Danio rerio: one gene and its partners. The protein of the gene in region 2 interacts with the protein of the main gene of each other region in a pairwise test. Links are inferred from orthologs where the notes say so. Each region holds a gene or a part of one and is shown on either strand. Other genes may lie near its edges.

Region 1 (6,874 bases), on a different chromosome or scaffold from region 2:
TATTTAATTTATTTCCATAACAGATAATGTTTGGCTACTAATTTTTGGAGTGTTATAGTAAGTTATTTTGTTTAGCTCCAGATATGGTTTCAGTACTGACTGATCTAATGTATATGCACAAAAGTAACATTGTAAATCATCCTATATTTAATATGCAATATATTATAAATTCTAATAATAATGACTCAAATGTAAATTTCTTTTTACTTAGGGCCAATTATTGCAGTGAAGACTGGTGCTCACTGCAGAACAAAAAACCAAGTCCCAAAAAACATTTGACCTATTTCACTTCATGTGTTGTTTCGATTCTCAGTTACTAGACCTCTTTTGTTCCAAGTCCAGAGGAATGCTGTCAGACAGTGCTTAGAGGTGCAATACTGTAAACACGCATAAAAATCTCGCTGCACCCTGTTTCTCTCCTGTCCTTAGGGCACATCAGCCATTCATTTTATTGGCTGTCGTCAGGTCTTCTAACAAAGCGACATTTCGAAAGTAAACATATTTTAAAGTCTATTGGTCTTTTGTACTATGAAGGATAATTTACTATACCTGCTTTTGGGTTCATACAAGAAGGGCTCTTTTTCTCCATCTTTCTCCTCTTCCTATACTTCCCAGTATCCACATTATCACCGTTGCTGCTATTCTCGCTGGAAAGAACTGCATGATGATGCCTAACAAAAAAGACATACAATTATCAGATTTAAGGCAAGACACTGCAGGTGAAAATGAAAATAATTAACTTACGTATACAATTGAAGTCAGAATTATTAGCCCATCTGTTTATGTTTCCCAACTTCTCTTTAATAGAGAGAAGTTTTTTCAACACATTTCTAAACATAATAGTTTTAATTTCTAATAACTGATTTATTTTATCTTTGCCATGATGAGAGTAAAAAATATTTTACTAGAAATTTTTCAAGACACTTCTATATAGCTTAAAGTAACATTTAAAGGCTCAACTAGGTTAATTAGGTTAACTAGGCAGGTTAGGTTAGGTGGGTTATGTGCAGTCAGGTGCAAAGTTCTTGTTTAATTTTGCTATATTAGAGTAAATAATTTTACAATGGGATTTTGAGCATCTACATCACTTCATTATACAAAACATTCTGCAAACAAGATTTTTTTTACCAAATTAATTTGTAAATAAATTAAACTATTCATGAATTTCTTTTTTGTAAAAAAAAAAAAACTTTAAATTGTGAATATGTATAGAACGTAAAGTTTATAACTTAGAGAAAACTGCAGGTCAATAGGGTGAAAACTTACGTAACATATTTACCACCCTGCTTCCAGAATTGATTGACTAAAATCTAGGTTTTTGAAATGTTGTATTTAGATATGCAAATGAGATATTCATTAAATATGCACTAATTTCCATTCATTTTAGCATAAAGAAATAATACTGGATGAAGTCAGGTTCAGACTTGTTTAATTTATTTGACATATTACAGTCAAAAGAATTTACATGCCAATGGTATTTAGGTAATCTATATCACTCTACAATTCAGAAAATACCTCAAACAAACAGATTTTTTAAAAAGTGTCACTTATTTTTGCAGAATAAACCACAGATTAATCAAGCAAACTATTTATGAATATATACCACTGTAAAGAAATAAATGGATTTAAATGAATAAATAAATATGAACATGAATAAAACTTAGCTGATTTAATTCTCGACTGTAAAGTTGGACATTACATTATAAATATACAGTCAGAATATGTGTAATAAATAATAATAATAATAATAAATAAGTGCAATAAAAGAATCACTTAGATGTTTCAGATCTTTTCTTTCCATTAAACACTTAAAATAGAGAAATAAAACTTAATAAAAAAGCCAAAAAGGGCAAAACAGGTGCATGAAGACAGTGTTTTTGCCTGCAGTGTCAGATTTTAATATCAACATCAAAACAATCATTTTGACGCAGTAGAATATCAAAGATGACGTCCATCCACACAAGTTAACACACTATCAGATGGGACACTGAACTCATGCAAAGACTCAAAGCACAACAACAGATGCAAAACTCGAAGGGTGTGACATTTATCTTTCCCTTCAACAAAAGTGAAATGTTCTGATCTGAAAGCACATGATCTGAAGAGATTCTCACCGAACAACTTTGGCCGTCTCCACCCACTCAGGCTGTTGACTCTCCCAGTCATCCACCGTGATCCATTCAGAGCTCTCCGTGGCCAGTCTAGCCATCTCCAAGCGATGACAGGCTTCAATCAGGCCTTTCTTTTTATAGCCATCTCCAACTGGAGAGATTATGCCTTTCACCACTTTGTATCTTCCTGAGACAGCAAGAAATCTGAAGTTATGCATGTGTAATATGCAGGTTTTAATTGATAACAAAAGCAAGCGTGTGTCCAGAGATTTACCAGTGTCCTCAAGGTGATCGCGAGCCAGTTCGAACATTCGCAGATGCATATTTGTGATGGGGTTGAAGGAGCCACATGCCAGCAGAACCAGCTTGATTTTCTCTTGTGATGCCATCGATCATGAGAAAGATGCTGTCGGAATAGAAGATAAAATAAATCAAGACAATTAAAGCGCAACTAGGCATTTTATTTTTGAAGACAGGAATTTGTAGCATAGATTTCAAAATGATGAAAAGTAATTGTTATTTTACAATTTGACTGTCCTTCACATAACTAGGTCAGCAAAAAAGCTTTTAATTATATATATATATAAATATTTTTATTATTCTATGTATATTATTCTATATTATTATTAATAAATAGTTTTTTATTATTACTGTTTCGAAGAATAAATCACAGATTAATCAAATAAATTATTTATTAATATATACCACTGTAGAAATCTTCATTCATTCATTTTCTTTTCGGCTTATTCCCTTCATTAACCTGGGTCGTCACAGTGGAATGAACCACCAACTTATCCAGCATATGTTTTACACAGCGGATGCCCTTCTAGCTGCGACCCATCACTTGTAAACACTTATGCACACTCATTCACACACATACACTACAGACAATTTAGCTTACCGCATGTCTTGCGCTATAGGTGAACTGAATAAACTAAACTGGCCATATTGTATGTGTGTAAATGAGAGTGTATGGATGTTTCCCAGTACTGGGTTGCAGCTGGAAGGGCATTCGCTGTTTCGATTTTTCTTTACATTAGGAAATTTCCATTTCCTCTTATAAAAAGAAATAAAAAGGTTAAAAAGTCAAAGATTTTATAATAAATAATTAATAATAAAATGTTAAACGGTCACATGCTCTTTAGTCATATTTGGATAAATACGGGTCAGAATACGTTTGCAATTTTATTTCAGTATAAATATATCTGTTTCACTAAATGCCCATAAAACATTATTTCTTCAAAATCTACTAATTTTTACAAAAGTTATTTGAAATATCAAAGCGGACACTTTCTTGACATATGAAATTGCTTTTATGTGATGTTTAATGTGATTCAGACATTCTAATAATATTAATATAATCAGTGTTGGGGTAACAAATAATGTGATTTGCATAATAATATTACTTTTTCAAATAACAAGTTATTACTTAAAAGATGCTCTACATAAAAAAAGTTATAATTGAGTTACTTTTAGTTTAATTATCATGCACTCAATGAGAAAATATTTGCTTTATACTTTCAATAATCTGTATATACGGCACATATATTGGAAGTTCTCAGAAGATAACATTATGCTAAACTATTATTTTTTTTAAAGGTAAATGAAGGTTATAGTGCGCTGTTAAATGCAGAGCTCCTCTAATAAAAAAGAAAAAAGAAAGAAAAAACCTGCAAATTCTGAAAAAGATGCTATTAAAAAAAAGTAACGCCAAAGTAATGTATGGCATTACTTACCATAAAAAGTAACACAATTAATTACAATTTGGTGAGTAATGCAAGACATTACTTTCAAAAGTAACTTTCCCTAACACTGACTATAATTATATACACCACACACACACACACACACACACACACACACACACACACACACACACACACACACACACACACACACACACACACACACAAAAACTTGTCATTTATAAAAATAAATAAAAAAATTAAGTTTGTTCCTGAGGAAATTCATAATGCTACGAAATCACCAAATCTTTCCATAAAGAAAAATCTGAGCTAACTCTCTAAAGTTCTTCCTGTTTCAAAAGAAAGTAAGAGGAGGTATTTTACTATAGTTAATGACTATACTATAGAAAACAGGGAACAAGGAAGGAGGGAACAGGAAGGACATTCCTACACAGTAAATTCTATGTAGTGAGTAATTAGTTTACGATCAATTAACCTATTTAATCAACTGGGCTAAAGAATGATATTAAAAATAAATGCACAATTGTGCGCAATAATGTGTTATATAAGCAGGACTAAACGTGTTTACTTACTACCAAATCAATACATCAGTCTCGTGCTTTCCATTGAGCAGAGTGAAAAAACTTCCCCAAATTTATGATAACAAATGCCGCGAAATGTAACGTTAGTAAAGAAACAGAAAACCTGATAAATGTGTGGTTGTCAGCACTATATATACACAACACATTTTTACTGTCTATGAAACAACATAGACTGTACGGTATACAAACATTACCCTTCTCAGGACAGCTGCAAGTGTTGGACAAATGATCAATGCGCGTGCGCACATCATACGCAAGTCCTACGCTTTCGTTGTGTTCGTAATCGTCAACTCTGCGCAGAGTTTACGCAGACCGACCATAGGCTTTCTATTGAAGATCAATAGCAAGCCACACCTTAGCAAACTGGACTTAGGAACATAGCAATTGTAATTTTATCTTTAACATTGGGAGTTTTATTAATTAAATAAGATACAGGTGAGAGATACTATTTTATTAAGCTAAAACCTTTTCGTTTAGGATTCTTAAGTTCGTGCATTGGTTTGTTTATATGTGAGTGCAAGCTAAGCTAACTGCGCAGTCAGAGAGAATAAAGCACTCACTGTCTACAGAATGGGGTTTTAATCACTGATAGTAAACCAATAACAATATTTAACTTCACATGACCAACAGTAGACACTATTTCTGATCATATCAGACATGACAGGTGTGACATTCACAGATACAGTAGCAACACTATAAGGTGACCATGTTCTGTATGAATAACCTTAGAGATTGCTGAAAATATAATTTTGGATTATTTTAATTTTTTTTTTAAAGAATGGCTTCTAGAGGGAAATCAGAAACAAGCAAACTGAGACAAAACATGGAGGAACAGCTGGACCGGTTAATGCAGCAGCTCCAGGATTTAGAGGAGTGCAGGTAAACACATCTCACCAGCTCTTTCAATAACAAAATATTACAAGATTATGATCATTTTTCATTGCAGAGAGGATCTTGAAGAGGAGGAATATGAAGAAACCAAAAAAGAGACACTAGAACAGCTGAGCGAGTTCAATGACTCACTCAAGAAGCTGATGTCTGGGAATATGACACTAGTTGATGAATTAGGAGGAATGCAGCTGGTAAGAAAAAGTACATTGAATTGTATTAAAGAGATAGTTCACCAAAACAATAAAAGTTTGCTTACCCTCAAGTGGTTCTAGACATTAAAGAGTTTACACAAAAGAAAATATTTTGAAGAATGTTGAAAACCTTATTGAGGTAAAGTTGGTTTTATTTTCACACATTCATTCATTTTAATGCTATCTATATTGTTTACCGCATTCCTTTGAATATTCAGTGAGAAAAATCACATGTAACTTTAACTTTAAAACTACATTAGCACTATTTAACTGACTGTAAATCATGTTGTACTTTAATAAGTCATTTGCTGTTGATGTCATTTCCCAATTTAGAATTTGCAAATAATTATTTTCTGAAACTATATTATTAAGGGGAATGTCTGAATAAGTAAATATAAAACCAACTTTACCTTTTTAGAAAACTCTAACCATTGAGATCCGTAGTATAAACAAAAGAAAAATAATATATCTTTTTTAAATACTGTAAAATACTGTATATATTAATAAGAATATGGATGTCAATGGCCACCAGTTTTTCTATAATTTAAAAAAAATACAAATTTTATGTGAGTATGTGTTTTTTTAAAGTAGAAAGAAGCTCAAACAAGCTTGAAATGAGTGGAGGTGAAGCAAATAATGACAGAATTTCCATTTCTGGGTGAACATTCTGTTTAACATAATATTAATTTACATGTTATAGAATTATCAATTATTATTATACATTATAAATCAAAGTGTTTGGGTTAAAGATGAGGCGTCCACATTGTTAAATGTACAATTAATTCAATACACATAGGAAGTGTCTAGTCTAATGGTTCAGCTTTCTTATATAAAAATGTTAAAATATGTATGAAATAAGGTTTCATCATCATTTAGTGTAACGTTCATTAGTTTAACAGAGGGCTGGGCCATATGGCAAAAATGCAATCTCGATAATTATTTTACATATTGAATGATGACGATGTATATTTCGATATAAGTTGTTAATAAACCGAATAATTAAAAATGATTGAAGCCACAAAAATGACTGGGTCCCTTAAATGGCATAATATATTTTCGGCCAATAAATTTTCAGTGGCCAAAAAATTCAGTACATCTCTAATATCAACACACTTTTCGATTCCCATTGTTGCACATTTCTGCAGTGATTGGCTCTTAGATCATTATAGAGTAAAAAAGTGCAGAGCTTATCATTGTTATTGACGTACATTTTATCGTGATTCGATAAAATATGCTTTATAGGCTCAGCCCTAGTTTAACATACTTGTTTTGTTCATTATTCAAATGTATAACAGAAAAGTGATCATACTAAACTTTAGTTACATGCTTAACAACGTCTTGCTGACAAATGGGTAAACCCTAGGGTCAAAAAATCTAACTCTATTTCACACAGA
Region 2 (5,044 bases):
TGACAGCAGGTCAGTCATTGTAAAAGTTTTATCCTCTTTCCAACCCACGGCGAAGTGAAAATAGCTCATTTAAGGGTGCAACAGCAACCAGGGAGGAAAATGAGCTCTTTCTGTATGCACGAGCCAGACATCTCAAGAGCCCCACAGACAAATCTTCAAGTGTCTCAGACTGCAGCTTCCTCCCACAACCACAGTGCTGGGTCATGATGAATACTACAACATCCTGCTGCATACTTGGAGGTTGATTTCACTGCACAGTCCACTTCATTGTGGAATGCATTCCCTGAGGTCATGAACAGACACTTTTATGCAGACGGCTAGATAATCGTGAACTGATTCAATTTACATTTTTTGGTTCTTTAATGTTGGGTCTCGTCGCCAATTGGTGGGTCCTTAAAGCACAATGGCCAACATAACCGAGAGGTTAACAGGAAACAGCAGCGCTCACAGGAAACACAACTTACTTTATGTTTGCATAAATTGCTCATCTTTTAAAGTAACAGCCATTCAGTGTAGCTAAAATAAAATCATTTAAGTCAGATAAAATAGCATTTCAAATCATGTTAAACTTAGCATGCAGGTGAACAAAAGAAATATTTGTAAAATATATATAGCTAACATAAACATAAATCATAGTATGTCTTTCTACTGTTAGTCAAATCACACTGATAAAGTGTATACGAGTAGTAGTTTGCCTATATTGTGAAGATTTGTATAATTTATAAAACAAGTAATTTTTTTGTTTCAGATAATGAATATGTAAGAATTTTTACATTTATTTTTAATACTTTTAGACAATAGCTAAAGTCTGTTCAAGAACATTACGAATAAAAGCATGTGGATAATTATAATACTAAACAACTGAAAAATATGTTAACTATGAAATTTGAAAAAACCAAACTCGTGCTTTAAACGCATGCATTAATCAGTAGACTGTTATTAATAGTTATTGCTAAGTTGTTGTAACAAATATACATACAGATGCATATATATATATATATATATATATATATATATATATATATATATATATATATATATATATATAAACATTTAACAGTGTAACTTTTCTATGGTAAATACTATATTAACGCATGTTCTGCCGCACTCTTCCATCTAATAAAGCAACGTGTAATATCCATTCTCACTAGTTAGTAGTATTTAGTGTAGTCTACAGTACTAATTGGTGCAAACATTTTCAAACACAATTGAGATAAACACTCGCAGATTAGCATTGCAGTGACTGAAGCAACGTGATTTCTTACATTTTGCATTTGGGGCAACGGGCTACATAAAGCAAGCTTAAGAATTCAATTCATGCCAATAAGCCGTATTCTTCGCGAAGCCAATCGTCCACATCAGCAGCTGCGCGTATTTAAACGATAATCACAACGCAACCAAAAGAATGTAAACAATTGAAGCTAAAGAAATGTAATTGTTGCGTTCGCGCTCCATTGAGGCTCCATTATGACGTTGTCCAACCTGCTAAAGAACGCAACGCTGCAACAAAACGCCAGTTTCAGTCATACTATCACCATAACCCAAAACATATAATCTGACAAATAAACACACTCGCAGAGCTCTTCAAAGCGAAGGTTCACGGTAAAAGGCAGAAAACTACAATGACTTACAGCAATAGCTGTTAGCCAGCTAGCCAGTTTCAGATGAAACTGTACGATGTCGCATATTCCTTACCTGTTAAACGCAACTTAACGGGTCCATTCCTTCTAACTCCTTGATTAGACATGTCCTTGACCCTTATCCAGGCTGACTACTACAAAAAACGGGTCGAATGTGTTACAGAGTTGCTTTTTGGTTCCCCTCAACGCCAGTTTCACAGTGAACAGAAAATAATGGAGTCACGGTCCTGTGGCCCGGATGTGCACAGCCCTGCCATGTCTGCATACATACACACGCTTTAACGCGCTCCTCGTATTTCTACCGTCTGTGAAAGTAAATCCACGACGTCCCCTCAAAAGATCCGCTTACAGAGACCTCCCGAAGTTTAACATATTTTCCACGAACAAACAGCTTTCGGCGTCTACTGCCATTCCAAGACCTTGAGGGAAAAGTTGTATCGCTTATGGGCGACCGATTTGAGGAAATGTGGTTTGCAAGGTGTCTGTGGAGCCGCTTAAACCGCCCAGACTGTGACATCAGACCTACTTGATATTCATAGTGCTGTAGGATATACACTTATTTCACTTGGCGGTTAACATCAGTCTTTCCTCTTTATTGTTTATTCATATTTTATTTAGTCCATGTCTTGAATATAGAAGAAAACAACTTTGGTTCTTTTTCGGTTGGTTTATTTGCAACAATTAAAACTGACAGATTCATATGTACAACTTGGAGCACGAGGTCCAAACAGAGACAAACATGAACAAGATAAGTGGCGTGCAGAAATGATCGGAACAATCATACAAAAGTATTTCACAGGTCAGACATTTAGAAGTTGAAAGTGCTTTGGTTTTCGTTGATCTGGAATGCATAACCATCATCTGTAGCTTCAGGTGCGACACATTCATCCTCTTCCTCCTGCAAGACAGAAATCAGGGATTTAGGAAAAGCAGTTCTTGAAAGAATTAAAAGCAAAAGATAAAACTAAACTTCAAAGTTGAGATTACCCCCCCCCCCCCCCCCCCATCCCGTCTGTGGAATGTATAATAATTCAGAGTTTTAATATGCAGACTGATAAAACTCTACACACACAAAAAAAGAATGCATAATGCGCAACTAGAGATTCAAAATTTGATCAACCCACCTCTCCAGAGAAATATTTTTCAATTAAGTTGAGGGAGGCCTTGTAAACCATTTCATTTTCATGAGACTGCAAAGCTTCGATTTTGTCCAGGCCACCACACTCCTCAATCATCAAACACAGCTTTTCAACCTCACCAATCTTCTCTCCAGCCTAAAAACAAAACAAAGTTATATTAACAGAGGAACAACAAAATAATGTCATGTTCCAGATCTACCTATTTGCATTAATGGACTATTGGAATAAAAATAATGTGCTCAGACTACAAAGTAAATGCATTTACTAAGTAAAACTTTAAATGCACAGACAGAAAGTTTGTGATGTTTCCTTAATTTATGCGACTAGAAAATTGGATTAATCAGTTCTTTCAGTCAATCTGAAATAACGAAGCCAAAGTGAGTCATAACTGTGTGTGGGTCAGAGGGGATTATACCAAATAATATTGTAACTAAATATCAGAACAAAACATCATTATCACTAGTCATTTTGCAAGATTAGCATCCAGAGATTTAGAGTAGTCGGGCCAATTACATCAACCTCACCAGTTAACAGTTTAATTGTATTTTTTGTTATTCCAGTCAAACTAAAAGAAACAAGACTTCCCTTTATATTTTTTCCTCAGTAGGATGCATTTAAAAAATAAAAAATATGCCCTTGTCTGTTAAACATCACTTAGAAAATATTTTAAAAAATAAATAAAATTCACAGGAGGGCAAATAAATTGGTCTGTAAATGCACACATGACAGAAGAGCTACTGAACACACAAGTGGCAACATGTGACAAACTTCTTAGAGAAAAATTTAATAAAATCTGATTCACTCCTTATTTTGAGATGTAGCAGTCGAGATGAAAATCATCTATACTTGGTTTCAATAAGATCAATAAAACTCATTTACCCTCAACTTAAAATTGACTCATACCAAAAAGATATTTGTGATGGCATCTAAGATGACCAGAATAGTTTTGCTGTCCTTAGTGGAGAGCAGGTTCAACAAGGGCTCCAATACGTTGGCTTGAACTAGGTAAACCACTTGCTCTACTGTGCCCCCGCTGGTATAATTGGTCACTGCCCAAACAGCCTCCTTCTGGGTCTTGTAATCACCCTGCATGAGGCAAGAGAGAGAAAAAATTAAGTTGAAAATAAATTAACTTCATGAACAAGTATTGTATTGTGTTCATGTGGTGACATACTCGTCTGAGAACTTCCACCAGGTACGGCACAATGCCAGCATTGATGACCTCCTGAATCTGATAGTCTCTGCCAGCCGTGATGTTGGAGAGAGTCCAGGACGCCTCCTTCTGAATGTTGCTCTTTTGGTGGCGCAACAGAGCTGGGAACATGGGAAGAGCACCAGCCTCCAGCACAGCCTGCGTTTGTTCATCTGTGCCAGTGACAATGTTACCAATAGAACGTAGTGAGGGGGTCTGTGGCAGGAAAAAATAAAAAAGTTATTATTAAATTTACCATTTTAAACGTATAACTCAAGAGTTCACTACTTTCCACCAACTTACCACAATGGACAGCTCCCCAGATGCCAGTAGCTGCACCAGTCGAGGAACCACACCGGCGTTCACCACAACCTCAATGCGATCATTGGGCCCGTCGGTCAGGTAAGAGATGGCCCAGCAGGTGTCCGCAAGCACTTCTTTGTCACTGTGCTGCAGAAGGCAGATGAGTGTGGGTAGTATCTGTTTCACAGCCTCCAGAGGTGGTGCAGGGTTCTTATTGCGGCACAGGTTTGACAAGGTCCATGTGACGTTCCTCAGGTAACCAGCCTGTAGAAGAAAAACTGGCTGGTCAGGGTAATTCTACACAGCTTTCACGCCATCTAGCGGTAATGCATGCTCACTACAGTTTAAAACAAATAGTCCTGAACACCAAAAACAACATTGTTTGAGGTTTAGAGATAATACATGTAAAAACCTTTATTTTAATTTTTTTTAGCTAATAATTTTAAATACGTTTTATGCAATACACCTTTCAAGAACCCATGATCACTGTACAACAAATATACACAATTCAATAATTTAAAAATAAACCCACAGTATATTTAAAAAAAAAAAAAAAAAAAAAAAAGAGAAGATTATAAAATACAAATAGCCAAATAGCTTTGGCAGAGGGAACAGAGTGTATGGAGGAGAAGGATCTAAGGGAGCAGAAATGAGTGATGATATGGAAGAGATCAGACAAATAAGCTGGTGTGAGGTTATGGATAGCCTTAAAAAGTATGCAGGACGATTTTATAATCGACTCTAGGTTGGATTGGAAGCCAGTGCAGATT
Region 3 (6,267 bases), on a different chromosome or scaffold from region 2:
GTTTATATGGGAACCACTATAAAAGTGTTAAAAATAACACTTTTGAAAGTGTTAACATTATCAACACTGAGAGAGTGTTAATTGGCAAACTCTTATAGTGTAAAATATTTGTTAAATTTACAAAACAAAAATACCAGCAGCTGTGGTTGCCAGAATTTTTCTGTGAAAAACATGGAACTTTTATAGAACTGTATAAATTTACAAAAAAAAAAACATATTTCATGAACTGACACAATGTTCAGTTTACAAAATCATAGTGAACAAAAATGTAAAGTCATTAGACGCATTAATGTGTTTATGTGTGATTGCAATTAACAAACAGATATTCACTGCATAGGTTACTACATAGTTACCTTTAAACAAAAGAAGATGCAGCATAACATCAATTACTCTCAGTTTATCTTGGACTTGAACACAGATGCTATTATCCTTCACAATGGTGAAACAAAAAACGTTTTGCTGTTTTATTTTTTTATTTACTTATTTTTTTGATTTTACGGAAAAATACCGGCAGCTGTGGCTGCCAGTAATCTACTGTTTTTAACATTTTACATTCGTAAATTATCGAACACAATGAAACATACATACAATACATTATACCGACAAAACAAAGACAAAAATAAATCATAAAGAGAAAAATTTATTCGCGCACAAAAGTGTTATTGAAGCTTCATATAATTAGATTTGGATCACAAAAGTCACCTGTTTCTGGTTCCTTTTCTCGACTTTGAATGTCTCTGGAGCATTGCTGTATATGGAGGATGAGGGAGCTCTCAATTTTTTCTGAGTTTGTTTTGCTTAGTTGAACACAGAATAATATATACTGAACAATCTTGGAAAACTGTAACCCTTTACTTCCCTAGGATTTGTTTTTTTTCTCCAGTCGATGTTAATGGTTACTGGTTTCCAACATTCTTCATATATACAGATATACAGTGGTCCCTCGCCATAACACGATTTACCTTTCGCACTTGCAGTTTCGCTGATTTTTTAGTGCAATTTGACATGCTTTTTTTACAGTCCATTGTGTTCTGCGTCAAGATTAGCACATTGTGTTTTGCATCTTGATCGGCTGTAGACCATTGCCAATCAATCCATCCATGTCGTGTCTCTTGTACAGTACAGAATGCTTTTAGCTTGCCAAATTTACATAAATATTTGATCGCTAGCAGTGTGACTCTGAAGTGCTGTACTGTATGTTTTCTCCCCAACAACCTCCATAATGTTGACAAAACATTCTGCTATGTCAAAGGCACCTGCGGCAACAGCTAAAAGGCTGAGGAAGATACTAACCATTGTACAAAAAGTTCTTCTGGACATGCTGAGAGAAGGTAGAAGTTGAAGAGTGTTAAAACAAGAGAAAAGTGTGAAAATGTTAAGGTCTATCTGAGAAAATAGTGTTGTAAAGGGTTTTACAGCTTTAAAACATCTATAATAATTGAAAAAAAGCGGATTACTTTGTGGATTTCACCTATTGCGGGCAATTTTTACAACAAAACTCCTGCGATTAACAAGGGACAATTGTATCTTAATTTTTGTTTAACAGAACAAAAATCTTGAATTGGTTTGGGACAAGCCAAGGGAGACTAAATGAAGACAGACTTTTCATTTTTGGGTGAATAATCCCTTTAATACCAGGTAAAGCAAGCCTGACATCAGACAGCTACAACTCCAAATAAATCCAAGTGTTTGAATCTGCAAAAATGCCTGAATTGCCTGGCTGATCTGATAAAAAAAAAAAAAAAAAACTGAGTGGCTGACTATTCTATTAGAACTTAGAGGAAGTGGAAAGTGAGATGGACATTTCAAATATAATCATATACTCCCTTTCTCTGTGAAACAGAAGAAAAAGAAAAGCACTAGAATTAATTTGCTCCCATATCTCTGGGCGCCCAGTTACTGACTGAAACACTGGAAAGCTTTGAGGGAGACCTTTTTTCCACCATCTCCTCATTAAAAACTCACACATTTCTTCAGTTGCATCATCCATATGAGACTGTCGTGAGCTTGTGGTTTGTGCTGACTTGGCACACGAATGGCTTTGCGTTGTTTTACTGTCTCTTCAGAGTGGTTTCATAACCAACACACTGCAGCTCAGGCACAAATCTCATCAGTAATGGAAATGTGGAGTGTGTTGATAGAGAAAGCCCACGGGAGAGCCGGCGAACCACATCTTTGACAAACTTTAACTGTGCCTTCAGCAATTAGATGGTGTGAGGAATGATAAATGCAGATGTTTTGTGTGATAATGCAGTTGGCTAGCAAGCCTGGACCACAAACAAGAACCTTGCTGAATTGATTAATGTAATGTTTGGAAAAACACAGCTCATGATGAATAGAAGCAATAAAGCAAACACTCCAAAAACAGCATTAAACAAGTCCTTGAGTAAAGCTCGAGTACAAGACTGCAAGAAAAAATTGTAAGTGTGGCTAAAATCAGGCCTAATCCATGTGCCAATTTTACTAAAACATACTAATCCATGTGCTTTTTCACAACAGACACTGACAGCAGAACAATGACTTTCTCTAAAAGATTTTTTTCTGAGATTTTCAGTGTATTCAATAACTTTTGATTGATAGTAAAATAACTTAGGTAAATGCAGCATGATGGTTCAGTGATTAGCAATCTTGCCTGACACAAGGTTTCTGTAGGTTAATTAAGTCAAATTTAAGACTTTTAAACCCTTTTAAGACCATTATATATGATGTTTTAGACTTACAGAGAACTAAACACTAAAGATTTTTTTTCTAATAGCCCAATTACTTTAGTAAATAGTTTTTATATTAATGGAAGATCATGTAAAGAGATGTGTTGCTTTAGTTTTCCTAATATATAATGCTTTATACACAATTGAAGTCAGAATTATTAGCCCCCCTGAATTATTAGCCCCCATGTTTATTTTTTCCCCAATCTCTGTTTAACGGAGAGATTTTTTTCAACATATTTCTAAACATAATAGTTTTAATAACTCACTTATTTTATCTTTGCCATGATGACAGTAAATAATATGTCACTAGATATTTTTCAAGACACTTCTATACAGCTTCAAGTGACATTTAAAGCCTAAACTATGTTAATTAGGTTAAGAAGGCAGATTAAGGTAATTAGACAAATTATTGTATAATGATGGTTTGTTCTGTAGACTATCAAAAAAAAATAGCTTAAAGGGGCTAATAATTTTGTCCTTAAAATGTTGTTTAAAAAATTAATAACTTGCTTTTATTCTAGCCAAAATAAAACAAATAAGACTTTCACCAGAAGAAAAAATATTATTAGACATACTGTGAAAATTTCCTTCATCTGATAAACATAATTTGGGAAATATTAAAAAACAAATTTAAAAACTCAAAAGGCTAATAATTTCTAATAACTTCAACTTTATATTAAACTTAAAATTAAGTGTTAGACTTGTGAATATGTTAAATACATTATTGTACCTTTAACCATATAATACCTACTGTTACATATCTGCATGTATTTAAGGCTTCACAATTGTCAAAGCTTTGCTGTCCCAAGTCATACACATACTGTTTTTCATCCCATTCATTTAGGTAACATATATTTTATTTTGTTTTCCAGATATACTGTAAAAGGTAACTTATACCCATTTTGCATTACATTACATGTGTCTCCACAATAAATAATACAGAGCTTTGATGGTAAAGCTAAGCATTTAAATACTGTATCATCTTACTAAGATGTATTATTTGGTAGACATTGAGCGACAACTGATATTTAGATGCATTTTATCTAAGTAGTCTTCTATAATGTTAAAAGGATCTTATTGATTTACATTACAAGCTATCATAAGTCCAGCTTTCTTTTTAAGCTTACCATATAAATATCAGCATTTTTTTTGCTCCTTTCAGGCCTTTGAATGAAATTACCGTGTTTTTCACCTCCTATATAAGCCATTAAAGTCTGGTGTGTATTATGTGATGCTTAAAAACTCACACCGTATGCATTATTTTTGGAACTGCACTGCAAAAATGCCTTTCAGTCAAGAAGCATTTTCTAGAATTAAAAACAAGCAAAATGATCTTGTTTTTTCTTTTGACATAAGTTTATTTTGCTTGCTCCACTGGCAGATTATTTTATGTGTTTTAGGAAAAAACTCACTTAATGTTGACATAATATTTCTTAAAACAAGATAATAACTTTTGCTTGTCTAGAAAATGTTTCTTAATTTAAGAATTTTTGAATTTTTAGACTAGAAACAAGACTAAAAATCCAAGTAAGAAAATAAACCTAAATTATGCCTTTTGTAAACAACTAATAGTGTGTTTTGTTTTCAAAAGGAGGTGTTTGGAGACATGTAATCCCCTCACCTGCACCTGTGTTGATGTTCCTCATGCTCTCCTTTGCACTGACTCTGTTGTTGGGAGGATAATCTGGCACCGGTGCCTCATAGCGTCGATCTGGGACGCGTGGGCTGGTCTTACTGGGGTAAGATCTAGGTCATAACAGGGAAAACAAGGACAAGGAATACAGATGGTTAAAGAATATTTCAAATTTTCCCTCACCATTTACTCACACTCAAGTGGTTATAAAACATTTATGATTTTTTTTTATTTTATTAAAAATTTTTGGGGGAAAGCAACCATTGACATGTAGAAGCAAAAATACTATGGAAGTCAATGAGCCCTATCATACACCCGATGCAATAAGGTGCAAGATGTACAGATGTTACTACTTCAATGTGTTCCTTGTGCCGCCATTCATGCCGCGGCGACGGCGGTACTTGATGCGCCAGCAGCATTTGACCGCTGGGTGGCACTTTAACCACAGATATTCAGCTTTGCCTTTTCACAATGCTAAACAGACTGTTCTGTAGGCGTAGCTTACTGTATGTGATGTGATGTGTTCAATTAAAATATAATTTTAATTTAGTTTTTCTGGTAATAGACATGCTCTTACACTATCCTATGCTGTAGAAAAGATACATGGTGAGAAGTCAAAAAGCAGATATAAGAATTAAGTTATTAGCCTTCAGTGCCCGATTAAATTGCGTTATGGTGAAAATAATGTTTTGATTTCTTTGACTATCATGGCAATGTTATAATCTCAAATCTTAAACGTGCGCATATGAAAAACAGCAAAATAATATAGATTATCCTGCCGGTAGAGCACATCACCTCACAGTTGTGAACTTGCGATCACCTCAACTTACATTAAATTTTTTTTTACCTGGTTTATTGTAAACTTATTAAGTGCAAAGAGGATTCGTTTTGGAAAATAGAATTGAAGAAATGAATGACAACTAAAATGAAAGCACAAACATTCAGTACAAATAATTAGTCTTAAATAAATAAATAAATAAATAAATAAATAAATAAATAAATAAAGCAGTCTTTTATTCTAAATATAGAGAGATGTAGTGTTTGCTATTTTGATAGAACTAAGACTAGACATGTTCATTTATATTTTTAATTTACGTTTTTATTTACATTTTCGTTGTTGATTATATTTACGATCTCATTTTATGTTTCAATTATAGTACATAATAATAAACGAATAATGAAAATAAATGAATAATGAAAATAGGACATAAATTAAGTCTGGCAGGTTTATTTTTAATAATTTAGTTTCAGTTCCGTTTTTTTGTTTCAAAACGTCAATGTTCTGCTTTAAAGTATAACTGTTGTTTTGTTTTGTTTTTTTACTTAATGGCTCAGTATGTTTTGTATTTTAATTTCATATTCAGTCACCTTGCATATGCGTGTGAAATATAATGCCGCATAACCGCGGAAAAAGAAGAAAAAGCTGTCAGTTAAAGCTAATTAATCAAAATTGGCTATATTAAAATACAGCATTTATGTTAATACAGGCAGAGTGTGAACAAACTAAGGCTAAGATATGTGCTTGCCTTTTATTGCATTTAAAAATATTTGCGGCCTTTTTATAGGCTACAGGCAACTGGTGTATAATAATGTTTTTTTTTTTTTTTGTATGGTAAAGGACAATGCACATTATGTTATTGCATTATGTTATTGATGTAAACTTAGGCTAAAACTTACCATTGATAAACGTGACCTACCTCAAGCAGATCACTTAAAGTGTAATAAAAATAATGTTGCCGCAGGACATAAATGAAGTCCCGCAAGTTTATTTTTAATAATTTAGTTTCAGTACTATTAATTTTTTTCTCAAAACGTCAATAGCACCTTAAATAATCTAAACATTAAAGATGGACCGCAAGATGTGCTGAGTGGCTATGTTGTGAAGAACAATGGCAAAGCTAAGTGTGATTATTGTAATAAACTAAT
Region 4 (6,267 bases), on a different chromosome or scaffold from region 2:
CCGGCCACAAGATATGTTGTGTAACTTTAATAAAGATGAAATAATATAGAATGAAGACTGTGCAGTGTTGATTATTCAATATCTGTACCAGAATAGCGAACACCTAATTCACTTTTATCTTTACTATATTTGATTCATCCATGCTTGTCATTTATTTGTTATATTGACCTTTTTCATGGCTGCTGCATGGAGGGCGCCATAGCAACAAGCGTCTTCCGGTTAGAATGCTAAAAACTTGCGTTTACAGCGTGTACAACTGGTAATTTGCGCTCTGAAAATGGGTTTCAATAGCCGCATTTCCACTATCGGGCCAGTGCGAGCCAGGGCTTTAATGGGGCCGGGCCGGGCTAATAGCCCGGGAGGTTGAGAAATGAGGCCGAAATCATGTCGCATTTCCACTGTCGGGCTAGTAGCTCACAGCGCGTCACTCAAACACCGCCCACAGAACGTCCCCGAATCAAACGTCACACAACCCGCCCACTTCAGCGGGAATCAGGACAGGCAGATAAAGCAGACCATAGAATCATCACGAAACGAAACCATTAAAATGAAGACAACCAAAACAAACAAACGACACGTCACTGTACAGCAGTACATTATATGTCTGTACGCACAGACCTGTGTATTTCCATTCATTACATTTGTTTACTCACCGACCGACTGTTGGCATTGTGCATCAAGTGCTCTCGCCACTAACGGAGTGACCCAACACAGAGAGCGCACACATCTATAATATAAAGCCACAGAAATTCTCCTTTATAACTCGATATGGCATGTATTTTATAACATCCTCGTTTTGATAGACGTCGTGTTAAGTTTTCAGCACAAGAGCGAGTAGCCTAATAAAATATAGCCATATTTGTTGCGCTCAGCAGCTATTCACTAAAGCTCTTCATTTAAAGTTTCATTTATAAATTTAACCACGTCATATAAAAACAAAAACAGTTGTTTGAGGATATAGAACACATTTTGTGTTTGGACTTTCCCCCGATGCGTTTAAAGCTGCGCTGCGCAGGACTGAGTGACAGAAACAAAGGTATAGGCTAGATTCTGCTTTCACTCACCCAAATAATGCTCTGTTTGCGCGATTTGATTAATATCATCGTATCCAAATACTTTATAAATATTTACTTATATAAATATTTACTTTATTTAAATATTTCAAACTTTATCCGGTGATTAGTTTTTAGAAAATATCGAAAATCTTTTTTTTTTTCAGACAGGTCTTTGCAAAATGAAAGTTAGGCTATATGTGGCTTTAAAACGATTTGATTTATGTATTGTATATAGGCTACCTACATTGTTATAGCTAGCTTTTATTTATTTTATATTGGTTAATTTATTTAATGTGATTTTATATTTATCCGATATTTGTAATTTTTTAAATTATATTTCAATATAGGCTATTTTATCAAGATATGACACTATATTGTTTAAAGTCTACAAAAGTGGGCACGTGATTTGTTAAGTTTAATGTCTTTCTGTTGTATTTATATTGTGTATTATCTCCAGAATAAATAAAGAAAAAAGCTGCTCGCGCATAACAGAGCTGTGAAGGAGCGCTCTTGCCCGGTCGTACACACACATACATGTCTAAACATGCACAAACAAACATTTTAAACTTGACAAAAACTCTGGAAAACCTTTACTGTCTGCTGTGTGTTTAATATGGTGTAAATATTATTATGCGTTATTGAAACATAAAGGAGGACGCAGCAAAAAACGTCACTATAAATTAAAACTACTTTATTATTGTATGCAGCAGCCTTACATTTAAAAGGGAAACATAAGGGTGATCATACGCAAAAAGACCCCAGACTATAAGGCTAGATGTTTTCTTTCCCTTATTTCTTTATTTGTTTGGCGCATGTACTCATGTGCGATCAGAAAACTGCCCGCCTCTCCTTTCACTCCGCCCCGAAGCCCCAGCTGGCCCTCCTTGGCCCAAGGTATTCGGAGGGCCGAAAAAGGCCGGCCGCTGGCCCCAAGAAAGCCCCGCTTTGGCCCGATTAGGCCCTGGAAGTGACAGTGGAAACCCCACTTGCCTTGGCTCGCTCGCTTTAGGCGCGATAGTGGAAACGCGGCTAATGACGTTTTTATAGATAGCAGAGTGTTTTTGTGACGCACAACTTAGAAATGTGTCTGTTAAAGCCGTTATAATCTGTCACGTGGTTCAAGCGCGTCAGAAATACGAGAAAAACATTCTCCTAGTTCACGTGTCTGCCGTCAGAAATATAGTGTGTGTGTGCGTTCCCGGCCTGTCAGCTGTTAGCTCAGCGGCTCTTCAATACACACACACAGAGAGAGAGAGAGAGAGAGAGAGCAAACCAGAGTACTGGCATGAAACCTAACAGGTATGAAAGTCGAGCAATTTACAAAAATGAGCAATAAAAGTCTGTTATTGATCCTCTGCTGCTGATTTGCTGTTCATTCTAATCGCGAGCCGTTTGTGTTTTATTTTGTGTGTTGTTTTCACCACGGTTTGTGTTTTTCTTTCATTTCGAAATGACACTAGCCTATATTTTCACTTTGTCACAGTTATTAAATCAGTGTGTCAGTGGCACAGTACAGGCTACGTGTGTGTGTCAAACATTTTGGTGAATTACATTAGTTTGGGCTGGTTATATATTTAAAATAAAGAGAAAACGTTGACTTTAGCGATGACGAGGCTTCATTTAAACTGCAGAAGATGCCGTCTGACAACCAGGGGAAAACGCCTCACAGCAGCTGTTTTCCATCCTATTAGATCGCATTTCTTTAAATGATCAGTCCCGGAGATGCTGCTGATGGACAACAGTATTAGTTCAAAGAGGATAAAAGCAGGTAACATAGATTAAAACTCGTTTCAAAGCTGTGCAAATGTGACTGTTTACACGCATCAGCTGCCGACCGGAAGTTCTTCGCATTCTCCTTGCGCAGCATACACGCAAAGCATAATGGGTAATTTTGCGTTCCAAGAAAAAGGGCTATACACACTTTATTTTAGCGGCTGAATGAGAGCATCATCCGGGTTTTCAATGTGAACGCACTACTTACACTATTTATACTACAAAATGGCGTAGAACAGTGCGCAAGTATGCGATTTGGGACGCAGCTAAAATCCTTCAATAACTAATCGAGCTAAAGTGATTAATTAATCAAGGTTTAATCATCCCTTAAATAACAGATTTTCTGAATTGTCTTCAGAACAAACCACTGTAAACCAACGACTTGGCTAATTACCCCAGTGAAGCCTTTAAATTGCACGAAGCTGAATACTAGTATCTTGTAATATTAAGTGCTGTCGTGATTATGACAACAAAATGAGTTATAAAAAACAATACATTTACAAGTGCGCTGGGAAATAATTAAAGAACTGAATTAGACAGGCGGCTTAACAATACTGACTTCAACTAGTCATACTGCGCAGCTCTAGCCATCAAAGCAAAGCAAGCGTGTACCTGCAGTCTGGCTGTTGCTGTCCGAGTTGACCACAGGACTACTGACGCTACTGACGGCTGAGCCAAACACAGCAGAAGAAGAAGACGAAGAGGAGAAGGAAAACGACGGCGCTCCACCTGACGACAGCGCCCCGAGCACCGAGCTGTCCACCTTCTTTCCGAAATTAAAGGAGACTCCCGGAGGAGCTGCTGGCTTTTCTGCTGGAGGCTTGTCGTCCTTGTTTTTGAGGGAGACGGTCTGCGGAGCCGCAGCACAGGATGCCAGCGGCTTCCCTGGTGTTTCGTCTGCCGCCCCGCTGCCGTATTTCCTCTCGATGCTGGCCAGGTGACGCTCGTAGTCCCGGAAGATGGGGTTGAGGTCGCACAGCGGGTTGTCGTTGACGTGTTTGGTGATCCAGTCGCGCACCGAGCAGTTCAGCGCTGTGAGCTGCCGGTTGTACTCTTTACTGCTGGGGGCGGAGCCGTTGGAGGTGACCTCACCGTCTGTGGGCTTGGAGGGGGTGGAGCTGCTGAATGTTAAAGGACCTGTGCATGAAGAGAGGGAGATACATAATTAGGGATGCAATGGCTCTTGGTAAAAAAAACGTATTGTCTCGTCGTCCTCTCACAATTCGGTGCGTCCTGTGATCTATAGTTCATAGGGATGTAACGGTATTGTAAATACCGTCATACCGCAATATTAATTTTTTCGATATTACCGAAGTCGCATGACTCGGTAAAACTATAGGTCTTCTGAGAAAATTTGCTCAGGCGAATGAAGCGAACGGGAGGTAGCGAAAACTACAATTCCCATCAGCCCATGCTTGACCATCATCCCTTGCGGTCTGTTGTCGCTACAGATCCAGTAATGCGGAAATGGAGTGTGCTGCTAGAATGCATGTACACTTTCTCATGCATTGCACATGCGAAGACCTCTCCAATCACCTCCAAGTATGTAAATCAGTTGCTGACATCACATTTCCTCATGTGTCTGTGTGTGTGTGGGGAGTTTCTGTGGGTTTCAGCATGGCGAGTGAAGGAGATACAGCGCAAATGCGCAGATGAGGCCAAATCACAGCGCACTGCAGTCACGCATACAACATACGATTTTTAAAACGCTCAACTTTTAATTAATGCAAGAACATGCGATACATTTGTGTGAAGCTGTTGCATTGTCAGGTGTTCGTTAACGGTCAACAACCGCCTGAATGTACTTTACCCCTTACTTCATGGATAATTAAGTGTAGTTTTCTGTACTAATACACAACAAATTACTGTGATGAGAAGGGCTGCTTCCTAAATATTAGAGTTGGGGTCGAGTCCACCTTTGTCGAGTCCAAGTCGAGACCAAGTCCTTAACCAGTCGAGTACAAGTCCGAGTCTGAGTCCAAAAGGGGTCGAGTCGGACTTAAGTCCGAGTCCTTAACATCCGAGTCCGGCCGAGTCCAGACAGTCTTAAAACTCATTTATTATTTTTTCTTTTGGCTTAGTCCCTTATTTATCAGGGGTTGCCACAGCGGAACGAACTGCCAACTAGTCCAGCATATGTTTTACGCAGTGGATGCCCTTCCACCATTCACCCATTCACTCTCATTCACACTCACACACCCCGGCCATTTTAGTAAATTAAATTCCCCTATAGCGCATGTGTTTGGACTGTGAGGGAAACCGAAGCACCCGGAGGAAACCCACACCAACACACGGAGAACATGCAAACTCCACACAGAAACACTCCTGACTCCAGTCCCTGTGCGGCAACAGTGCTAAGCATTGAGCCATGGTACCACGTATGTAAAATAACAATAATAATAAATCAAATATATTTTTCTATTAACAATTAAACTGTTAAATGAAGAATTTAAACTTTTTGTACATTTTTACAAAATGACTTGTATTTTTTGTTAGCTTGCTTCAAATTAAAATAAAAATAGGAGGATATATGTCGAATTTTTATTATTTTACAAGACTCACACGATTGACATTATTCTAATGCCACTTTTTCACATTTCTTGTTTAAAATACGCTTGCATTACCAAGGCAAAAATGCATTTTTATTAACATTAAACATCAAATAACAGAGAACTGTTATCAGCCCCAGTGTGGAAAATGAAACCATACTCATGCCAACTGACCCAGATCAGCACAGAACATAAAAGGTTCAGCAAAGGGAGACCATTCGGCTTCACCACTGTCTTAACAGGGAATTAACAGTCAGAAAGATTTTGTTTTAAATAAAGAAAGAGTGATTAAATAGTGGGGGCGATTGGGTGCAAAATAAAACCCAGTGGGAATCAGACTGAAAAAATAGTCCAGTGCAGATTTCTAGGCTCTTGATCTGGGTCTATCTGTTAATGATAGCCTGAAACAGGGGTTCTCAATGTCTACATTAAAAGTTCTAAATCTGAATTTTTTTTATTAAGGTCAAAGCAAAGAAATTAAACAATTGATATTACATAACTTGTTTTTAATAAACATCCATAAGATGCAGCACGGTGGCGCAGTGGGTAGCACAATGGCCTCACAGCAAGAAGGTTACTGATTCGAGCTGGCTTAGGGCAAAATAAACACATACTTATCTGTTCATTCAACTTTGAACTGTCTATTCTCTTCATCAATTCTTTTCAGTGAGACTGACATCTTCTTCCATTAAAATGATTGCTTTGCTGCAGTGTGTTAAAACAGGCGAGCACACACGATTATCCAGCATGATCATGATTAGGCCCAGCCCTAACCAATTTGGAGCCCTAGGCAAGATTTCAGGTGAATTCCAGTAAATTCCACTGCTAGTGTACATATACTCATAAGACACTTATTAGCTTTGTCTTGGACATTCTTTCATTTTAATAAA
Region 5 (6,859 bases), on a different chromosome or scaffold from region 2:
AAATACAAAAAATGAACGACTACATATGAGTTGTCTGTCTAAAGGCTGATTTATACTTCTGCGTCTAACGCCGGTGTATGCTACGGCGCTGACGCATAGCCCTTCGCCGTGGCCATCGCTGACGTGCACCTCTCAAAAAATGTAACTACACGTCGCAACGACGCGTAGCGTAAGCTCTGTGATTGGTCGGCTTAGTAGCGCTGACGAGTCTGGACGGGACGAGAGCCGCGCGAATGGCGCGACGCCGCGCGAGTGATTGTTTACAAGTGTGGAGTCCCGTGAAGGAGCTCCGGATGGAAAGTTTTGTTTTGTGTTTACCTTATAGTTAAAGTTATTGCACGTCCGCCGGTTCCTGCCTCAAAATGAGCGAGTTTGAGCCACTTGTACATCTCGGAAGTGTTCAGGAAATGCAAAAAAGTAGCGAAGAAACTTGACACAGAGGAACATTTACACCTCACTGCCAACTAGCGTTTCGGAAGTGTTAATGCAGACCAACAGAGACAGCGCGCAGAAGTATAAATGCCCAGCCACGCACGTTGCATGCGCCGTGGGTCACGCCGGTCACCTGACGCAGAAGTATAAATCAGGCTTAATGTGTATTTGATGACTAGTCTAGTTTTGGTCCTTTCTTGGATGTCTATTAGATGTTCACTGGCAGTCCAAATTTAGCATTGCTTTAGCCAAGCCATCTTCATTTACATGTCTAGATGTCCAAGACATCCGTAAAAACCATTTAAATAACTCAACCAATCATTAAAATCATCTTCACGGATACGTCCGCATCAGGAAGTCCATAACATGCTCGATCTCCTGGATTTCCCATGTGGCCTGACCTGGAGAAACCACAGATGGAGAAGCTGATGGGGATTTGGACAAGGATGGTAGATACTTCACTAAATCATCAGAAAAGCCTTGCAGGAGATTCACTTCAGGCTCAAAAACGGATGAATCGATGTCCATAAGTAGTTTATCCAAAGACACGTCTTGACCTGGACACGTGGCCTCTGTTCTGAAGTATGATTTTTCAGCCCTCAAACTTGAACACCCTGGTAGATTCTCTATGGATCCGAGTGGAGAACGTTGAGACGGTCCATCGATGATGGCGTCTAGATCTTTGAGAATGGCAGAGATGGCAGAAGATAATGAGAAATCCTCCTCTGATGTCCAGCCCGTGATATCTTCCTCCACGTTTTCAGCATTCAGCGAGAACAGAGATGCGTTACGGTCAACCGGAGAGAGTATTTGAGGAAAATCTTGAGGCTTGGGCTGTGATTGGTTTAGAGGGGAGAGTGAGTCTACCTGTGCACGGACCTCAGACTGAACCTGCCGCAGGGTGTTGTTGATCAGAACTGACCGTAATAAGCTGGGCTCCACCAGAGCCTGGTCCCGCTGGTATTTGTCCATGGAAATGTCCAGCACAGACTGCAGCTGACTTTCCCAAGCTGAACCTGCTCCCTCGTCGTCTCTGCAGAGCTTTCGTTTCTGACCTCTGGCCACCATTTCCACTCTGCAACACAACAGAGTTTACATCAATACAAGCAGAAAATGTTAAAAGAAATAAAGCAAAAGTTCTTGTTTCAGCTCAAAAAAATTTTCATAGTATTTCTGATAATAATTTTTCTTCCGATGAAAGTTATTTGTTTTATTTTGGCTAGAAGGGCAATATTATTAGCCCTCTTAAGCAATATTTGTTTTCTATTGTCTCCAGAACAAATTATCGTTATACAATGACTTGCATAATTACCCTAACTTGCCTAGTTAACCCAGTTAAAATGTCACTTTAAGCTGAATACTAGTATCTTGAAAAATATCAAGCCAAATATTATTTACTGTCATCATGGCAACAATAAAATAAATTATTAGAAAGTTATTAGACATTAGTTATTATTGTTTAGAAAAACAATTTCTGTTAAACAGAAATTGGGTTTTATATATATATATATATATATATATATATATATATATATATATATATATATATATATATATATATATATATATATATATATATATATACACACACACACACACACACACCAGGGAGGCTAATAATTCAGGAGGGCTAGTAATTCTAACTTCAACTGTACAAGTTCAGCATAGGCAAGAAATTGATGCGTCAGCAAATGTGTCATTAATGGAAATAAACAGAAATAATTAGCATAATAGAGATTTTTAAAGTAGAATTATTTAAAGAAGAAGCTGTTTTAAACCCACTGTTCGAAACTAAGGTAAAGAAGGTTTTATATTCACATGAAAATTTGTTTACTATGTGCTAATTTGAATATTTAGTCTAAAATCACATGACTTCCAAAAAAAAAACATTACCACAAATTTGCTTTAAACAATGCAAAAAAAAAAAAAAAAAAATATATATATATATATATATATATATATATATATATATATATATATATATATATATATATATATATATGTGTGTGTGTGTGTGTGTGTGTGTGTGTGTAACCCAATTTCTGTTCAACAGAAATTGTTTTTCTAAACAATAATAACTAATTTCTAATAACTTTCTAATAATTTCTTTTATCTTTGCCATGATGAAAGTAAATAATATTTGGCTAGATATTTTTCAAGATACTAGTATTCAGCTTAAAGTGACATTTAACGGCTTAACTGGGTTAACTAGGCAAGTTAGGGTAATTATGCAAGTCATTGTATAACGATGATAAATAAATAAATAAATAAATAAAAATAAATAAAATAAACAAAGGAGGCTGAATTTTTTTTTTTAATTTTCGATGGAAATTTCAGACGGCACTTAAGAAGTTTTTGCATCTGACTTCTTCAAATATATACATATACACACACACACACATACATATATATATATATATTAGATCTGTCATCATCTCAAATAATGTGTTTTATGGTTTCATGACACTTTAATTGACTCTGAGCAATGTTGTGCTTTGATAGTCATTGGCTGCTAGTGAATTATCAAAGAATACTTTTCTGAAATAAGATTATTAAGGAGAAAGTCTGAATATGCAAATATAAAACCAACTTTAATTAATCTAATTAATAAACTATTCTAATTTACATTGACAATTCAGTTAAATAACAAAAGACAAAAAAGGGTCCATTTACTATTTTACTTCTGTTAATTTATAATTACGATAGAAATTTGTACATTTTCCATAATGAAGATGGTCATGAAGACATTTCCTTATTGATTGCACAACCGTGAACTATTTCAGTCATTATCATTTAGGTTTTGATTTAACCGTACATCTAATTCATGAAATCACATCAAACATAACTATCATAAAACATAACATCTGTAATATATGTATATAAACGCAACAAATACACAAAAAATACTAAAGATATGGACATAGGTTTACAGACACAAAATACTCATCCAGTTTTAAAAGTGTACAATGTTTAGCGTTACATTCATATATAATTACAAAATAAAGTATATATGAGCATTGTTGAGGCGAGGTTTTGTCATCTTTTAGTCAGAAGGTGAAGAGGTTATGTTACATAATATTTGATATTTAAATTACCTACTGTAAGACAGTAACTTTTGATAGAAAAGACAGAATTTGACATTGTTTTGCGAACTCTAAATGTGTAGGACATCATTTAGTTTACGATTAATAACGTTTGTGAAGTTATATTTGGCTTGTATGTAACTCGATAATCATTTTAAAACAGAGTATCACATTTATGTTAGTGATCACAATTAAGTTTAGGCATTTTCAGCATATCTGTCTTCCAGACGAGCGATCAGCTGCAAAAGTCACACAACAAATTGACAAAAAAATCAAGTTTTTAGAAGGTAACGTTATGCTTAAGCAGAAGGCAGCACTGTAGCTTAGCATCTTGACAAAATGATCCAATCTTCCTGTAACGAAGACATTGCTTACTCACCTGCAAATCACGGGCACTAACTCCACAAAAGGTGCAACTCGTATAAACTTATTTTGTCATAATCATAAAACGCTGCTGAAGTGTCGGTCGACTGGAATCGTTTGCAGAAAATTTTCGTCCCGCCAGCGATTCAATCGGTTCTGACGTCACGCGCGAACAGGAATGCTGGGTATTGTAGTTGTGCTGCTTTCGAACGCTTTAAAGGGACAGCTCATCCAAAAATGACATCATCATCCAGCAACAACCTCCCGCTCTCCGTCGTGAAGCAAATACGGAAGTATAAGCTGCAAGTCATCGAAATTCCGCTAGTCCTGGCTCCATAATAGAGCAAATTTCTATTCAGCCCAGTGTTAAAATGGCCAACTTTACAGCAGAAAAAAAGATGTTTATAGCCTGATACAAAGAACGATTTTGGTTCATATAGCTTATATTACCCTTCATGACAACTGTGTGAGGGAGTGAATTTTTAAAACTCATCCGTTTCATTTATATTAAGTTATATTAAGTCTGCATAATTAAGGAAACTTGAGTGACAGCTGGGTCTCGCTGGTCGCTGCCACTTCACCTTAGCTGATTCCAGCTGATTAGCTGCTGAACTCATCAAATATATCGTATTTTTGTGCTGTTTTATGCCACCTTCCTGCAGATTTTAGCTGCTACCCATATCAAACACACCTGAACCAATTAATTAGGACCTGAACACGACATGATAATTACAGGCAGGTGTGTTTGATATGGGCTTTTTAGAATTATTTCTTACAATTATCAGATATGGCATGCTGTGCACTTTATTGTGCTCACAAACCATTCACATGGAGCCCATCTCCCAGGTGAGTGAAATTATATAATCATATACCATACCTATAACTGTATGTGTTTTGTTTAAGATCCTTTATAATGTTCTTTAGAGCTGTAATGCACTCCAGAATCTGACAGATTGATTAGCTGTAGGCTCTAGAGGAGTCATCTGAAACATTGCCATACAGTGTTATGACAATACAGCGTTCCTACTCTCACAGGACAAGATCTCGGATACAAGCAGCTGAAATGAGTTTCCTTCGCAAGGTGGCAGAGCGCACTTTTATAGATGGGGTGAGGAGCTCTGTCACCTAGGAGGAGCTCGGAGTAAAGCCGCTGCTCCACCACATTGAGAGAAGAGAGCTGGAGGGGCTCGGGCATCTGTTTTGAATGCCTGCCTAGGGATGTGTTCCAGGCCTGTCCCACCAGGAAGAAGCCTCAGGGAAGACCCAGGACACGCTAGAGCAGGGGTGTCCAGACTCAGTTCTGGAGGGCCGGTTTCCTGCTAAGTTAAATTCCAACCCCAAGCAAACACACCTGGGCTAGCTAATCAAGCTCTTACTAGGTTTTCTAGAAACATCCTTGCAGGTGTGTTGAGGCAAGTAGGAGATAAAATCTGCAGGACACCGGCCCTCCTGGATCAAGTTTGGGCACCCCTGCGCTAGAGGGACTATAGCTGCATCTCAAATGGCACACTATACACTATGCACTTATGCACTTAAACACTCAACAGGAAAGTATATGTATGTAGTGTCGTCCCAAATGGCACACTAATGTTATTTTACTAAGCGGAAATTCAAACCGTTTCCCTAATGATGTTTGACAGTTGCCAAATCGGTAAATTAAATGCTCAAACTATCAAATAATACCTGCCGTGAGTGTAACCGCATTCACCATCGGGAGGCGCTATAATCACTCTCGTAGAAGAATTTTGCTTTCACAATCCAAAATAAATAGTTATCCAACATAACCGTCCGATAACTCCGCCCCTTCCGCTATGCGAGCAAACCTGCGGTCGTTGAGTATGTGAAGTGTCCATCATTACACACCTCACTTATTATTTTTAGAGTTTTCAGTGTGAACGCAGTACTTACACTATTTATACTACAAAATGGCGTAGAATAGTGCATAAGTGTACGATTTGGGACGCAGCTTCTGTCTCTCGGCTGGCCTTGGAACACTTGGAATCCCTGCGGAAGAAGTGTCTAGAGTTCTCTCCTAAGACTGCTGCCCCAGCAACCCGGCCCCGGAAAAGCAGATGAAAAGGAAATGAAATGAGAAGAAACTCAAATAGATTTTGAACGAGTGGGTCACACTTTACAAATAGGTTCATTAGTTAATGTTAATTATTGCATTTACCAACATGAAAAAACAGTGAACAGTTTCATTTTTGGGTGAACTGTCTCTTTAAATACATTGTATACAACATTCTAACAAACATAAACAACAACAAAAAAGAGGAATTCTGTAAACTAACATATTTATTTAAAAAACAGAGGGTTAAAATCAGGCAAATGTCAGATTTTCATTGATTGTTTTTAAGGCAAAATCCATTTGATCTAACATCTTTTCTGCAAGTACAAAGTAACATTTAAATTAAGTTCTTAACATTGATCGAATAGGCACATTTATCACTAATTAGCATATGCATTTATGAAATTATAAACTAAAAGGTGCAATCAGTTTCTCTGTTATTCAATAGTTTCATTTCATTGTTTACTTTTAGAAATAATAATGACTGACTGGGAATATTGTATCTCTGCTATACCATCAGTACCAACCTGTTATTTTCGCATTTGTATTGTATGCAGTCATTTTGAGCAGTGCAGAAAAAAGGGCACCTTTATTGACAACATATTTCAAGAAAACCCTGAGTAACTTAACTATACTCTCCACAAATGCCAACTGTCTTTCCATCCCATTCAGAAGTGGACAGGCACTTGACAAAGAAATGGCCCAGATCATATTTGGAGATCACCCTTCCTTTTAGCATGTTCTCAGTCACAATGTATTTCTCCGTCAAAGGCTTGTCACCTGAAAAGACAACAGCAATGACCTTTTCTTGCTTATTGATGAACATAATTCAAGCTTGTGGTTGCAAGAAATATCCATTTTTCACTTTATTTAAGGTATACAGCGGGGAAAATTAGTATTGAACACGTCATGC

What was found.
Region 1: the proteins of kpna2 (region 2) and nmnat1 interact in a two-hybrid assay, tested with the Homo sapiens proteins (3 studies listed by BioGRID and IntAct). The two-hybrid records come from large-scale screens. The link is inferred for Danio rerio from reciprocal best matches to the Homo sapiens genes KPNA2 and NMNAT1.
Region 3: the proteins of kpna2 (region 2) and necab2 interact in binary tests that used the Homo sapiens proteins (3 or more experiments, as listed by UniProt). The two-hybrid records come from large-scale screens. The link is inferred for Danio rerio from reciprocal best matches to the Homo sapiens genes KPNA2 and NECAB2.
Region 4: the proteins of kpna2 (region 2) and nup50 interact in binary tests that used the Homo sapiens proteins (3 or more experiments, as listed by UniProt). The two-hybrid records come from large-scale screens. The link is inferred for Danio rerio from reciprocal best matches to the Homo sapiens genes KPNA2 and NUP50.
Region 5: the proteins of kpna2 (region 2) and sertad3 interact in binary tests that used the Homo sapiens proteins (3 or more experiments, as listed by UniProt). The two-hybrid records come from large-scale screens. The link is inferred for Danio rerio from reciprocal best matches to the Homo sapiens genes KPNA2 and SERTAD3.

Annotation. Positions count from the first base shown.
Region 1 is NC_133198.1:32,505,398-32,512,271, forward strand, and holds the start of nmnat1 (nicotinamide/nicotinic acid mononucleotide adenylyltransferase 1), read right to left. Parts: upstream 4,633-6,874; 5' UTR 4,593-4,632; intron 2,518-4,592; 5' UTR 2,501-2,517; coding exon 2,386-2,500; intron 2,299-2,385; coding exon 2,115-2,298; intron 672-2,114; coding exon 550-671; intron 1-549. Other genes in the region: nmnat1-rbp7a protein, read right to left, coding at 550-671, 2,115-2,298, 2,386-2,500; protein LZIC, read left to right, coding at 5,177-5,277, 5,345-5,480.
Region 2 is NC_133178.1:24,111,604-24,116,647, forward strand, and holds the end of kpna2 (importin subunit alpha-1), read right to left. Parts: intron 4,539-5,044; coding exon 4,275-4,538; intron 4,188-4,274; coding exon 3,954-4,187; intron 3,866-3,953; coding exon 3,683-3,865; intron 2,915-3,682; coding exon 2,765-2,914; intron 2,539-2,764; coding exon 2,449-2,538; 3' UTR 2,296-2,448; downstream 1-2,295. Other genes in the region: E3 ubiquitin-protein ligase SMURF2, read right to left, coding at 1,696-1,747.
Region 3 is NC_133193.1:22,957,557-22,963,823, reverse strand, and holds part of necab2 (N-terminal EF-hand calcium-binding protein 2), read right to left. Parts: intron 4,455-6,267; coding exon 4,330-4,454; intron 1-4,329. UniProt on the Homo sapiens protein: May act as a signaling scaffold protein that senses intracellular calcium.
Region 4 is NC_133179.1:71,999,417-72,005,683, reverse strand, and holds part of nup50 (nuclear pore complex protein Nup50), read right to left. Parts: intron 3,966-6,267; coding exon 3,441-3,965; intron 1-3,440. UniProt on the Homo sapiens protein: Component of the nuclear pore complex that has a direct role in nuclear protein import. Actively displaces NLSs from importin-alpha, and facilitates disassembly of the importin-alpha:beta-cargo complex and importin recycling.
Region 5 is NC_133193.1:49,160,929-49,167,787, reverse strand, and holds sertad3 (SERTA domain-containing protein 3), read right to left. Parts: upstream 4,059-6,859; 5' UTR 3,895-4,058; intron 1,508-3,894; 5' UTR 1,501-1,507; coding exon 766-1,500; 3' UTR 609-765; downstream 1-608. Other genes in the region: blvrb (flavin reductase (NADPH)), read right to left, coding at 6,572-6,726.